3 linked regions of the Tribolium castaneum genome follow. The protein of the gene in region 1 purifies or fractionates together with the protein of each later gene. This does not show direct contact. Links are inferred from orthologs where the notes say so. Each region holds a gene or a part of one and is shown in the gene's direction. Other genes may lie near its edges.

What was found.
Region 2: the proteins of protein LSM12 homolog A (region 1) and ataxin-2 homolog purify together in Homo sapiens (affinity purification with mass spectrometry; 4 studies listed by BioGRID and IntAct, with this or other methods). This does not show direct contact. The link is inferred for Tribolium castaneum from reciprocal best matches to the Homo sapiens genes LSM12 and ATXN2L.
Region 3: the proteins of protein LSM12 homolog A (region 1) and me31B purify together in Homo sapiens (affinity purification with mass spectrometry; 5 studies listed by BioGRID and IntAct, with this or other methods). This does not show direct contact. The link is inferred for Tribolium castaneum from reciprocal best matches to the Homo sapiens genes LSM12 and DDX6.

What each region holds. Positions count from the first base shown.
Region 1 is NC_087401.1:13,582,533-13,586,617, forward strand, and holds protein LSM12 homolog A, read left to right. Parts: upstream 1-1,948; 5' UTR 1,949-1,988; coding exon 1,989-2,109; intron 2,110-2,191; coding exon 2,192-2,325; intron 2,326-2,372; coding exon 2,373-2,681; 3' UTR 2,682-2,869; downstream 2,870-4,085. Other genes in the region: polycomb group protein Psc, read left to right, coding at 3,347-3,458, 3,505-3,657, 3,703-4,085. UniProt on the Homo sapiens protein: Nicotinic acid adenine dinucleotide phosphate (NAADP) binding protein. Confers NAADP sensitivity to the two pore channel complex (TPCs) by acting as TPC accessory protein necessary for NAADP-evoked Ca(2+) release.
Region 2 is NC_087401.1:7,995,129-8,000,674, forward strand, and holds the start of ataxin-2 homolog, read left to right. Parts: upstream 1-2,365; 5' UTR 2,366-2,463; coding exon 2,464-2,501; intron 2,502-5,546. UniProt on the Homo sapiens protein: Involved in the regulation of stress granule and P-body formation.
Region 3 is NC_087402.1:3,102,709-3,107,982, forward strand, and holds the start of me31B (ATP-dependent RNA helicase me31b), read left to right. Parts: upstream 1-2,093; 5' UTR 2,094-2,228; exon of another isoform or gene 2,229-2,366; intron 2,367-2,650; 5' UTR 2,651-2,772; coding exon 2,773-2,825; intron 2,826-2,879; coding exon 2,880-2,961; intron 2,962-3,192; coding exon 3,193-3,361; intron 3,362-4,146; coding exon 4,147-4,703; intron 4,704-4,752; coding exon 4,753-5,217; 3' UTR 5,218-5,274. Other genes in the region: KIF-binding protein, read right to left, coding at 1-838, 884-1,085.

The sequences.
Region 1 (4,085 bases):
TTGGCCAACGTAGCTTTTAATTTATAAGTAGGTTTAGGGAAGATCACCCATGCCCCGCCCCTCACAAAAACAAGAGCAATATGTAAACTCTGTCAATTTTAGTTTGTATATATAATAATCAAAAAACTTGTCAAAAAAAAGAAATGCTCTAAAAACGGTTGTGCATAAAATTCGTAGTCGTAAAGTATTTAGCTGTAGTTTAAATACACGATTGATCGGCTCCCAAAACGCCGAATACAAAAATACAAACTGAAATGTGAGCTATGATAAGCCAAATTTTTGTGATAGCGGCGAAAGATGTGTTTTTAAAATTCAAATTTTCCCGCCTGGGGAAAATTCGAATTTTAAAACACAAATTTCCGACTTAAAATGTGTGTTCAACAACTTGAAATCTTGTAGGCATATTATTAGACTTGCTTCGGGAGGCTCTGCGGCCTCGTCTCAATAGCTGTAACAAACAACAAAAACGGAAAAATAGCGTTATGGAACTATGAATGTAAAATAAAACGCAATATTTTAGAAATTATATAACTTAAGAAAACAGTGAGAAATATTTATTAATTACAATAACAATTATAATTAATTAACTATTAAATAAGCATGTACAAAGTATCTCAGATAATAAATTTAAATTTAAGAAACGGGTCTTGTGATTTTTGGACGCACCCCGTATATTACTGTACAGGGTTTAGAGGAAAACGAGTGACACATTCTGTGGTCCGTTTTTTGAGTGAATAATTTTGGTCAAAACTGCATTTTGCTATCGTCTTTTGTTTTCGATTTATAAACAAAAGTTGACATTTTAGCGAAATCTTAAAAAAATCATATCTTCCTTATTTTAAAAGATACACATTTGAAACAAAGACATTATACAGGCACTTTTTTACAGAGAATTTAATAGTGTTATCAGTAATTTTTTTAATCATTTGTTTAGCTGTAATAACATAAAGTTGTATTTTTTTAAATGAGAATCATAGTTGGCTATGACATTTTCGAAAAGCTAATTTTTTTCTGAACTCAAAACAATATAAATATAGTTTGATATTTTTATTTATTTTTGATAAAAAATATATTTAAAATATTTGAAACTAGTTGGCCATGGAAAAATTATTTCACATAAAAGGTGTGAATAATCTAGAAATATTGTGAACGGCTATTAAAGTAAAAAATGTGAAATTATAAAAATACGCTATGTTAAAGTTATTTTCAATTGAACAAATATACGAGCGTCGCAGATTTTAATTACATAAAAAATGTGCAGAAAATTGCAAACGATGTGTCACTCCATTTGATGACACTTTTTTACGATTTAGTGAAGTGTAATGGAGGTGACTTGATAATGTTGTGTATTTTTTTACCGCAGATGGAATTTGATTTTGGTGTTTGGATTGACATTTTTTTGTAAAATAAAATTTTATTGATGTGCAATCATACAATTTAATAAGCTTTTTCTTCATCCGACATTTCTTGTTTAAAATTGGAAAATATAGAATGACAACGTGAGCTGGCCATTTTAAATATAAAAACAAATAATTTTTATTAATTGCAAAAATTTGGTCTAATAAAAATTTATTATGCTGTTTTTGAATTAATTAGGGTTTAAAAAATCATTAAATTACTTGTTGGGTAATACAATTTTCATAGTTTTTATTAAAAATCCAAAAATTTTTCATGGCCTACTATAAAGAAAAAGCAAAATGTTTTGTTTTTTCTTAAATGTTTAAAATTTAAAAGACACATCAAATCAGAAAAAATAAGCTTTTCGAAAATGTCATAGCCAACTATGATTCATATTTAAAAAAACAAAACTTTGTTATTACGGTTAAACAAATGGTTGAAATAAACCTCTGATAACATTATTAAATTCTCTGTAAAAAAGTAAAGATATAATTTTTTTAATATTTAAATGCTGCACCCTGTACAGCCAGCAGTGTATGTCACTAGATCGCGCAAACGAAAGTAACTAAAACAGTGGTCGTATTAGCGAAATGGCTGCCGTTTTAGATTATTTTTCAATAGGAAGTACAGTGTGGTGCAGGACATGTTATAACAAAGAAATCGAAGGGGAGGTGATGGCGTTTGACCCCCAAGTCAAAATCCTCATATTGAGTATCCTTTTCACACTGAAACTTTGCCCAATCTAAATTAGGTTAAGTCGGCCCGAGTCATGTTTTTCCTTAATTGCGGCCAGAATGCCCATCGACGAGCGGTGATTCGAAACTAAACGACGTTCATTTCGTCAACCTTTCGTTGGTTAGTGAGTTACAGGTGAAAAAAGAAGTCACTTCGTTGCCCGAAGTGCCCCAGTCGTTAAATTTGCAAAGGGTGAGTTTGCCACGATTGGGAACGTGCTTGAACCTATTGATTTGCAGCTAAACACGCGAGTGCGGAACCAGGTTGACAAAAAACGCCGAATTTTACAAGCAATTTCAGCAAACGTATCAGTAGAAGGCCAGAGTTTATTTATAGCAATCGCCAAAACAATAAAAGAGGTGAGGTGGAGGAACTCTGAGATCGTGGTCTGGAACCAGGAAGTGATCATAAGTCCACCCTACCAGCTCGAGAATATCAGAGGAGACACCAAAAGCAAAGAGTATAATTATATAAAGAAGGTCGTGGAGAAGCATATGAAGGACCTAGCAATGAACACCACGCCGGTTCAAAACACCACGCAACAATAAACCCGCCCCCTTAAATTATTTTAGTTCAATTTCAGCATAGTATTCTCCAACGATTCCGTTTCTACTATCATTTGCTCTTCTCCCCAATCGTAGACGATTCCGTTTCTTTATTTTGTTTTGTTTATCAATTTTATTATCGGTGTATTAAATATTTTTCTTAAGGAAACAATAAAATTGTACAAAAGCCAGGCGGACTTGCATCCCCTCCCTAGTGATTTTAGTGTTTCAGGTTGGCACTGCGAGCTAATGCGTTTGATTTGGTGGCATTTTCCGACGCTTGTGTCTCCCGTTTTGCGAGAGTTTTCCACGCGAAAAACGCCCCGACTTGTGGAAACCTTGAAGGGCCGCGGGCAAGTGGTGGAAAAACCGGCCGAATTGGAAAATTCTTGGTGAAAATCGGTGACGCCATTTTCGCTCCATCTGTCAAATGTGAGCAAGGTCCGTCTGTCAAATAATTAATTTAGAAGTAAACAAAAATATTTGTGAAAATTGGTGGCATTTGCTCGGTGGTGTGGCGTTTTCGATGGTTTTGCCGAAGCCGGGACGCTGGTCTGGCGCTGGGACGCGACGTGGGGCTTTTTAGGTCAGCGCGCCAACAATATGGGCATATTATGGCGAACCCCCCGTACCATCATGTAAGGAGGTTTATGGGATAGCTTGGGACGATGCACCGAGCGAAAAAACCACAAATCACCGATCTGAACCAACACCTGATTTGTAAACTGTGCAAGGGTTATTTCGTCGATGCCACCACGATTATCGAGTGTTTGCACTCTTGTAAGTATGAGGTAAACGCTAGAAGCAAGGCTAACTCGTGCCAAAGTTTGCAGAAGTTGCATCGTTAAGTATTTGGCGGCGAATAAGTACTGTCCCGTGTGCGATGTGCAAGTACACAAGTCGAAACCGCTGCTTAACATCAGGCAAGACAGAACTTTACAAGATATCGTCTACAAATTGGTTCCAAGACTGTTTCAAAGTAAGTCGGGAAGTGAGGTTATGTCGCGCTAAGTGTGTGTTTTAGATGAGGTTCAAAGGCGACGCGATTTTTACAAAACGCATCCAGAGGCGAAACCTAACCTAGAAAAAATCCTGGATAATTACCAGCACATCATCAGTCCAGAGGAATCGATTTCGTTGACAATGTGCTATTACGGGTGTAAAGAATCGTCGCGTTATCTGCGCTGTCCCGCCGCTGTAACAATCGGGCATTTGCAGAAATTAATTCGGGCCAAGTACGGTCTCTCTGATAATCATCATGTAGATATTTTGTACAATCAAGATTGCCTTAACTCAACGTTGACCCTAATCGACGTGTCTTATATTTATTCCTGGAAGAGGAAAACCCCCCTGGAGCTAACCTACCGAATTTACGAATACGCGCCGAAAAAAACCGAAGTGAAGAAA
Region 2 (5,546 bases), about 5.6 Mb from region 1:
TCACGAAAAGAATTCGTTTTATCAGAAGATACCTGCAATATTTAGAATCAAATAATTATATATTCGTGTTCGTGGATGAAACCTGGATATATGAAAATGGAAACAAAGTGCGCATGTGGATTAATGAATCTGATCCCAATGGGGTGTTCCAAAACTTGTTAACGGCGAGGGCAAAAGATTTACATTTACTTCTGCTGAATCAAAGATACAAAAAGTTAAACTTCTGTGGCTCGAAACGATTTCAAAATTTACACCTGCAATGTGGAATAATAGTGTTCAACACTGCGAAAAATTAATTCGGGAGGACTGGGCAAAATTAATGGGCAATTCCCCACTTGAAGACATACCTCCAATTATTATACAATTGTCGGCGGATTCAGATGATTCTGAGGACGGGACTTTTGTGATTCCGACTTTAAATAGTTCTGATTTTATTTGCTATTATTAAATTGGTTTTAATATGAAAACACGTATTTATTGCTATTTACATTTCAAGACTGACTCTTTATCAAAAGTCGTTTAGGGGAAAATCATGACACAGCCTGGTCTGTATTTGAATGTTTTAGGGTGATACAGCGTGTTATTTTTCTTTATTTTGACACTGACAATGGAGTTATACTAAAAAATTTAAATTTTTATATGGATAGCCAACAACAAAATAGGCGACCCATATTTTTTTATTTTAACCAAAGCTCAACCGTTTTGGAGAAAAATAATTGAAAAGGTGAAAATTCCTGGCCTGTTCAGCAATGTTCCTTTTTGAATGAGCCAGTCACAGAACTAGAGATAGAAAACTTGCCAACAAAGATAGCTTAAAAGACGTATGTCTATTCTTTATCTCTGCCTCCGTTGTTTTACATACGACTTCAAATGTGCTGCAGGAGCAGTCATTTTACCAAAACACATACTCCTGCCAAATATTAGCACACAACACAGTCATAATCGACAACGCACGGTTTTGACATTTGTATTTGACGTTTACCAACCCAAACGTAGGTCGTAGCGTTAATTGTATGCCGCGAAAGACTGACGAATCATTAGTCGAGACATTGCTTACGTCAGAGCGCAAATTTTCGATTATTACTAAAAAAGTACCGATTTAAAAAACCTCAGACCAACATTACTGGACATCATTGTGTGTCTACTTTCAGAATCTGCAATTTCCAAAAACTTTTACTTTTGAGTATAACACTCCATTGTTTATTAAAAAAAAAAAATACTGTAATTACAAAAATATGATACAGCAAAAAATTTAAATGTGACATGGAGTGCAATAATTTTTTGTAACAGCTAATTTTGAGAGAAAATGCGACGTTGGCGCAGATTTTTGAATTACTTATGAAATATTTTTTTTAATTTTCAATACATTGCACCGATATCATAAATTCGTGTCAACTCCATTAATAAACATTTTGTTTAATAAAAAATGTCTAGCCAATTTTTTCAATAAAGAATGTTTCTTGGAACTACATTTATTTTCTGTTTTAAATCCATAAAAACGCCAGTGTCGCATTTTCTCTCAAAATTAGCTGTTATGAATTATAAAAAAATAATAGCTAATGTAATTTATACTTTCAATGAGAGATCTAAGCATTAATAACAATTTTAATATTTAATATAAAAAAAATAAATTGGTAAAATGCAACGTTGGCGTTTTCATAGTTTTGAAACAGCTTACACTTATAAAAAACACAAATATCAAAAAAAGATTGTATGCACCAATTCCCAGAGGGTTTAGAGCTTTAAGATTCTGATTTTTGTTAATTTATTTTGTACAAGTAAATAGGAATGCAAAACATCTGGGGCGCATTTTTATTAATTAATTATTAGTTTATTTCAAAATCAAAATATGTTAATTATTTCTGTCAGGTTGGCAATAAGTCAGTACCCTCTCGATTGCATATGCACCCACACACATCAAAACTCACCTTCTCGTGCAAAAAGCCCTTTGGTGAAATCTCCGTAAACTAGGCCACCACCAACAGGTAGTTGTCCCTTGTGGCGCAGGCCCTTATTTATTGATCCCAATTTTGCCGCCATAAACCAAACTAGAGGAAAGAAGCAATGACCGAAGTGTGTTGTGCGCATGCGCAGTTTGTCCATGTCACTCTGACAGACAACACTTTGTGCAAATGCTGTGTTATAATTGTTTGTTATCACAGGAATCGGTTTTTTAAAGCACCCATCCAAGCACCAGGTCTCGAACGAAGTGTGTCGAGGAGGACGCCACCGCCTACGGTACCGTCTGCCACGAATGTGAAGAGGTAAAATCGACAGTGGCAGTGATTACGTCACTGAGCCATTTTGTGCGCTTCTAGGTGTCTTTGGAGCTGCCTGCTTTGTTAGAGGGCCGCGAACGTACCGCGTGAATATTTTTTTTCGAGCAGTTGTACTTTCAACGACTCCAAAATTCCGGTACCGACGAGAAATAAGGACCATACCGGCCATCACGGTAACGGTGAGATGAACAACAAGAGGAAAAACAGGGGAGGGCCGCTGAGGTTAGTATAGGGGGCTGTCCACGCAGCGCAATCCATCAAAAATGGGACGTTTCCCGAAACACGTTGAAAATTGACAATTTTGACAATATTGTTTGACATTTGACAATCATGTGGTGTTTGGCGATTTTTGACAATTTTTTTGCTTATGGTGGTCTTAAAAGCCCCTAAGATGGCGAAAAATGCTTTTACTTTTTTCAAGGTTCAATGCCCTAACAACTAGTTTCACATAATTGCCGAATTAAAGACCAAAACAGAGGTATTGACCTCATTAATTTTTTACGAATCTCCAATTTGGTGTTTTATGTTTTGTTTTATGCAGGGTTGTTGCACTTGACGGAATTGTCAACTGTCATTTTGGCATTTATTGCTTTGAGGTTATGACTGTTAATATACAAGGAGGTTCCAAAAGTTGGACGTGAAAGTAATAAGACATGAATGTTTTCATTATTTGTCACTGATAGCAAGCTGGAAAAGTTAGCAAAACAAACAATTTCAAGAACAAATTTTAATCAATGGACAGTTTGATTTTTGATAATCAAGTAGTCAGATACTGAGATAATAATTTTGAGTAATTCTTCGTAAAACTAATAAATTATCAAGTTTCTTTGGGAAAAAAGAAATTTATCATAGCGTGTCTAGTCTAAGTCAGCATAGATCAAAAAACTTTTTCTAGCGTTAAAGAGATTTATTTCCGGATTTTTTAAAAATATCTAGTTAAGGATGTCGTACAAAACTTACAAAATCTTAAAAAAATTTTCGACATGCTATATTTTCATATGGATAACAACCAGCTGTAGAGTTGTTAGGTTGGTACGCCCGTGCTTACAGTTTTTTTAGTGTACCGATTGGCAGTACTAATTCGCTTTCAAAATTTGACACCTGGTACAAGCGCAGTAAAGAACTGAAATAAATTGGTTATTTTTTATTAAAACAAAATATTAGTCTTAATACCCTGATTTTGAACCATTTTCACAACTTCACAAATTTGATTTAAGTGAATAATTAGCAGACTTTAAAAACTTTCAGAGCTTCTAACCTATTTTTGTAGACACTGTCAATTCTGACAAATTTCTCACTAGAAATTACTAGAAACATTTGCGCTCATTTAGAGACCGACTTACACAGGCAAAATATAAACAATTTACACTAGGAAGTGGTTTTTATGAATGTGAACCGATAATACTTATAATTATTAAATAAATATTTAACAAGATTTTTGGACTTAACAGTAAGTTAAGACGAAATTTGATTATGTTATAGTAAAAAGATACAGGAATTTGTAATTTAAATGATCTATTTATACAGGTGTCTGATTCAAAAGCACCGGACAATCTTTCGAGTACTGATAAAGAACATCAAACTGAATTAAAAGTTCCTATGACAAAGCCTTTTTTCACGAGCTCTTTGAAGTTAAATTTTGAGTTATGTTTTTGGTGCTTCAGATCTAATTTTTTTAACTTTAGCGGAAACGACAGCTTTTGCAACATCAAACAAATACCTGTTGAAAAAAAAAAACAACAATTAATTTCTTATGATGTACAAAACTATTAAAAAACTTGCTAATTCGACAATAAATTAAATTCGATATCATAGGAAACAAAAGAGCAAAAATCGATACCGTTGCTAAGGAAAACAAATTAAAAATTGTTTGAAAAAAAATCTTACTTTATTTTTGTGCTTAATTGAACGTCTTTCAACACTATATGAGAGTTTGTCACTTTTGAATCATCCTGTATATGGGACATTTTTTTAAATAGAACACTAGCAACATTTTTTATTTTGTTACAGTTTTTATATTTATATTTTTTGTTGATGCGTAATTTTTAAAATTAATGACGAAAAGTACGGACACATGGTTATTTATCATTTAATTGTACAAAAGATATGTTTTTAGTAATTATAATTTGTGAAAACTAATACTGGCGTTCTCTGGGGGGTAATTTTGAAATTATTCTTCTGTGATATAGCGGGAAATTTAAACATCATCCGTAGTTGACAGTTCACACTTCAGTTCAATCAAATTGAATTTTTGTCAAAACTTAATAAGTTAATAAGACTTAATGAGGCAAACAGAAAAACAAATTTTGTTTTACTTGTTTTTATCAAACCTCTTGGCAACATTGAAAAGCAAATTCAAATATACGTTAATTTAAGCAACATTTAACAAAACTTTAACAATTTTAACAAAGCCAACTATCTGACTGCACTAAATTAAACCGAAATTATCATTTGTTTGAAGCGTTTTATCACTGCATATCTTTTTTATTTATTTATTTATTTATTTTCACAACACTCGTGAAGGCTTTTTCATGTCGTTTTTTTATTGCATTCATTCATTATGGTGATACTTCTTACGTGATAATCGTCCGTCTGACCCCGTGTTGCAAACAGGTTTTCGACTATTTACAATTGAAGTAAATAGAGATAAAGCGACCTAATCAATGTGCTACAATTACAATAAATCTTGGCTTTTTTCTAACAATTCGAATGGTCACACGCATCACACTTTTTCCGTTCTAAGTTGCCAATAGACTACAGTGGAGACGGGTTATAACGAACTTCCGGTAACGGTAACGAAGTAGATTTGACTTAAAATGTGGTGCAATTTTTCGTTTATAACGAACTTTGATGAATATTTTGGTGTTGATAATAACAAAGCAGCAAAAATTTGACAAAACACGTAATATTAACTAGGATTGCGTCTTTTGAGTACATTTTGTCTAAAGTTTACATGATTAATAGTTAATAGGAAATGAAATTCGGTGGTATCTTTGCTAAAAAATAATAATGCAATTTTTTTTACTGTTTTAAAGATAAGGTGTCCGTTATTCGAGCTCCACCATGGGGACCTCAGGTATTATAAGAGATACAAGTTTGGTTAAATCAGGACTAAGTTGCGCATTTTTATGCTGAACAATTATCTCAAAGAAAATTTGATGAGTTATTTTTAGTTTTTGAATTATTGGGAAAAATCAAAATTTTGAAATTTTTGTTTTTATTTTTTTAAGCTAAAATTAAAAGAACTATACGTTTTTAAGCACGACA
Region 3 (5,274 bases), on another chromosome or scaffold:
AGGTCTAGCGATGTGAATTGTAGATTTTGCAAATCCGCGCTCGTCACACTAGCGTCTGAGTCAAGAGTCAGAGTTGTGAGATCGGACGAAAGCGTGCAGTTTTTGTCAATGTCGTCGGTGTGATTCAGCAGTCGTTCCTTAGACTTGGATAGGAGAAGTAAGCCGTATTTGGCCCAACATCGCGCAATATCGGCCGACCGGTGCTTGAAAACTTCCATCTTGGCGTCAAAAGCCTCATTTCTTTCGGTGATAGCGTCCAGGGTTTTCGCATACTCGTCCAAAATGAGCGAGCTGGCAGCCAAGTGATGTCTCGCTTGTTTGAAACCGTTCTGTTCCATGAGAAACTGGGACAGTGTAGCGGCGTTCAAAGCCCAGTCTATGGACTCATAGTCACCACTATCCAACTGTCTTTGTAAAGTGTTGTGGCAGTAAACTGCACTTTTTAATGCGTCTTTCAACGCCCCGTATATTTGGGCCAAGTAGTACACTGTCAAAGTGTAAACTTTCTCAAAGTTAATCCAAGCCGTTTCAATGTCGTTTAGTTCGAAGTTTGGGTTAAACAAGTCTTTTATGTCAACTGGTGGTACGTTCGATTTCTTGTAAGTCGCGTACAACCGTTCAGCCTTTTCGAGGTAAGTTTTAGACTTTTCTGGCTCTCTTTGCGACCACAAAATCCCAAACTGGTTGTACATATTCAATGTTACCATAACCACTTGGGGCTCCTCTGTGCAATCCTTTATCAGGTCTTCACACTTTGCCAAATAGCCCTCCCCAGTCGATAATTCCTCAGTGGCAATTGAAGTCATACCAAGATACAGGTACACACTTCCCAACATTGCTAAAATTATCACCTTCAGGCAAATTTACAACAATGTGGCACCACCTGTTAGTTTTATCTTGTCATTGTCTGGCTGAGTTTCTATCACATTTTCTAGACTCGCTTTCATGCTGACTAGGGTCTCGCTGGCCGCATATTTCGACACGAAAGGCTGATTTTCAGGGTCGTATTTACTGTCCTCGAGTAACTTAAGGACCTTATTGAATTTTTCCTCTAAATCGACAAAAACCTCCTTGCTTGCAGTCATGACGTATACTGAAAATTATTGCAAAATGTAACTCTCCAAAAATGCGGCAATACAGTTATTACCGAAATCTCAATTTTTTGCTAAAATTCTGTTTATTTGTTATTAAAATGACCGACAAATTGTAGGTTAAATAGCTGTCAAATCATGGATGAAAAAGGTGGTGCCAGGGTGGTGAAACCTAAATGCACCAAGCCAAGTATAGGCGCCAAATTCAAAATCGACTGTAGTTCGGCTTGCTATCGCAGATGTCGCACACACGTATAGTCAATTTTAGCGAAGCTACCTATAATATCGGCAGAAATTAACAGTGGACCTGTGACAGTTGCCATTGTGTAAATCGCCATTTTGTGCTTGGTTTGTTTGGTGTTCGCCTTCGGCTTTGTTTTATGTGAAATTAGTACTGTTTTGTGGTTTTTTTCGTGTGTGTGCTTTTTTGAACTTTTTTATTGTGGGAATATAAATAATTTGATGGATCAATCATTAGTTTATAGTTATCGTATCGTGTATATTGACTAGTGATAATAAATTTTTATTACAAGTTTATTGTCTTTATTTATTCTCATATTTTATTTTTCGTATTCTTTGTAAATATTCAGCAACAATAGTTGTCTAACATCAGAAAGTGTTATTAGCAACTATTGTTGTGAATATTTACAAACAATACGAAAAATGCAATCAAACTTTAAAAGAAAAGTAACTACGGGCAATTCAAATCGCCCGCCGATAACGCTTAGTACGCGCTGGCAACAATAGATGTGCTAGTGACACTTTCGCTCTATCGGGACAAGGACAGATGCGTTTCTGTAAAACCTGTTATTCTGTGGGTGGTGCCAGAGAACAAGGTGGTGCTGTGGGTGGTGAGAAGAGAACAAGGTGGTGCGCGCAATTTGAACGCTTTTTTGTGAGCTTTTTACATGAGTGGTTACTTAATTTTATTATGGTTGAAGGAGACGGACCCTATCAGGGGCGCTTTGTTATCACTGCCATAAAAAAATTGTATTTTTTGGCCAAAAATTTCAAAAATTCTTTGATTTTTTCCGATTGTTTCTCGCGCCATCTCACGGGTTGTCCTTTGGTTAGCGGAGCATCCTGGCATTGCAGATTCGCGGCCATTGTTAATTGCTGAAAGTCATTTTCCTTTTGGTGAGTAAAGCGTCCATATCAGTGGTAAAAGTTATTCGAAAAGAGCGATTTGATGCAAAAATCACACATTATGAGCAATGTCTGAGTATTTCCCAGGGTGTCTCGACGGTATTCCTTAAATTCTTTGTCCAGAATCAGGTAAATTTGCGTCGTTGTGCAATAATTTATGTGTAGTCGACGGTGCACTGTACACAAGAATCAGTAGCCATTTTAATTAGAAATCTGAATCCTGTTTATTTGTTGCAATCGTCGAACTTTTGGCCGTTTTTGAGGGTTTTATTTCCGTATCGCCAGTGAATGTTCATGACCTGGCTATTATTGACACTGCAACAATTACGGGATGTTCTATTTTTGTGGTTATATCTATTCCGTATTGACCTTAAATTTTCTGCGTCATTGATGTTTAAACTGGGATTTTGCAGATTATTATCGTTCCTGTGAGGGATCTTAGGAACTGTACTTATCCTACACATTGTAGAGGAAGAAGATTTGGGTTTTATAAACCCTATTTTTTAATACACTTGCAATAGTATTTTCTACAATTATGATGACGGACACATTGAATTCGAACCATGTGATGGCTTTGTCAGGCAAAGTGTAAGTTGTTTGCTTATCATTAAGAATGTGCGGTGACGAACCGCTTCCTTGCAGTGATATTGACACCAAAATGGATGACATGGGATGGAAAGCCAAACTGAAGATTCCACCCAAGGATAGGAGAATACAGACCAGTGTAAGTTAAAACTCACTGCTTTGTACGTTCACGGTCACTTGGAAGGCTTTGGGTCACTTGCATGTCTAAACCGGGAATAATATTCAAAGCTTTCCATTATTAACATGATGACACTATGGATTCCCCTTCATTTTTCTTATAAATGATAACGTCTTGCCTGATTTCATGCATTTCTTTCACCATTCGTGCAAAAAAGGTGTTACCGTTATTTTATCAAGTATTTGTTACTAGGATGTGACTGATACCAGGGGAAATGAATTTGAAGAATTCTGCTTGAAGAGAGAATTATTAATGGGTATTTTTGAAAAAGGGTGGGAGAAACCGTCTCCTATCCAAGAAGCTTCTATTCCAATTGCGTTATCTGGCAAGGATATTCTTGCAAGGGCAAAAAATGGCACAGGTATGTTTTTTACTCAATGTTTAGTGCATATTTAGTAAGCCTGTTCTGTTACTCAATAATTGGATGGGGGGACAAATATGCAAAACTAATGGCTTGATTTTTGCTAATAGTCATATTTATTTTTGAATATGACGCAAAAAATCACATACAGTAATTTGCGCTTATGAAATACCAGCTCGAATAAGTGGGCGCTATAAATCAGTCAAGCTACTTTATTTGGTAATTTAGTTCGCAGAATTGAGCTTTTTTGTACAAAATTTTTTTAACAATCAAGTCAATAATAAAACGTTCTCTTTTTTGTAATTCTGATTGTACTTTCTTAATTTACTAATTTACTTGTGATGTCAAAAAATACGTGTTATTATTAAACTGTCCTATTCTAAAAAACACGCGATGTAAAAAATTAATTTGTGTTTTTTTTTATATTTTCTTTCACTACATAAGCGGTAGTTCGAACCGAGACACAGACAAACACCAGAAATGTTAAAATCATCGTTATTTGTTCACTGCCTATTGTAAATTGGGTGACCTTGTTTACTTGTATTCGTTATGTACTCGAAATACATTACCTCTCTAGCTCACTTGTGTTTGTTTGCTTATCTTTTTTGGATGTAATACTGTTTATTGCATTTATCATTATACATATATCATATCAGATATACCAAAAACTGGAAATTAGTTACAAATCAATATTTTTATAATAAAAAAAGACAAAGAAGAGGGCCAAACTTTTACAGACATAATCTAAAAATTGGCTGTCAATTATTGAATGCTTTGGTCTTCAGGTAAAACCGGTGCGTACAGTATTCCCGTGTTGGAACAGATCGATCCCAAGAAAGACTGCATTCAAGCACTGATCATAGTGCCTACACGAGAGCTCGCGCTTCAAACGTCACAAATTTGCATTGAGCTCGCTAAGCACTTGGACGTGCGCGTGATGGTAACGACCGGTGGAACAAATTTAAGAGATGACATAATGCGCATCTACCAGAAAGTACAAGTTATTATAGCAACGCCTGGCCGCATCCTCGATCTGATGGAAAAGGGTGTCGCCGTAATGGACCAGTGCAAGATTCTAGTTTTAGACGAAGCCGACAAGCTTCTCTCACAAGACTTCAAGGGGATGCTCGACACTGTGATAAAGAACTTACCGCAAGAGAGACAAATACTGTTGTTCTCCGCCACGTTTCCTCTCACAGTTGAGCAGTTTATGCGAAAACATCTCCGAGATCCGTACGAGATCAATCTCATGGAGGAGCTCACTCTTAAAGGTGTCACGCAATACTATGCGTTCGTTCAAGAACGTCAGAAAGTACACTGTTTAAATACTCTGTTTTCAAAGGTTGGGCTCTTGGTATTTTGGTTTATTTTTTCTGACAGTTTTTTTCTAGTTACAAATAAACCAAAGCATAATATTCTGCAATTCCACGCAACGTGTCGAATTGTTGGCGAAGAAAATCACCGAACTTGGTTATTGCTGCTACTACATTCACGCCAAGATGGCTCAAGCGCATCGCAACAGAGTATTCCATGATTTTCGAGCTGGTCTCTGCCGAAATCTAGTCTGTTCTGATCTGTTTACAAGAGGTATCGATGTGCAAGCCGTCAACGTCGTCATCAATTTCGACTTCCCGAAAATGGCAGAGACGTATCTGCACCGTATCGGTAGATCTGGAAGATTTGGGCACTTGGGCATTGCCATCAACTTGATTACTTACGATGATCGATTCGCGCTTCATCGCATTGAACAAGAGTTGGGAACGGAGATCAAGCCGATCCCGAAAGTGATCGATCCCAAGTTGTACGTGGCCAAGTTAATAGACGACGAAGATACTCCAGAAGACAACGCCAAGTAACGCGGTGTGTTACGAAATATCACTGATAACTGTAAATATTAAACAACGTACTTTCCG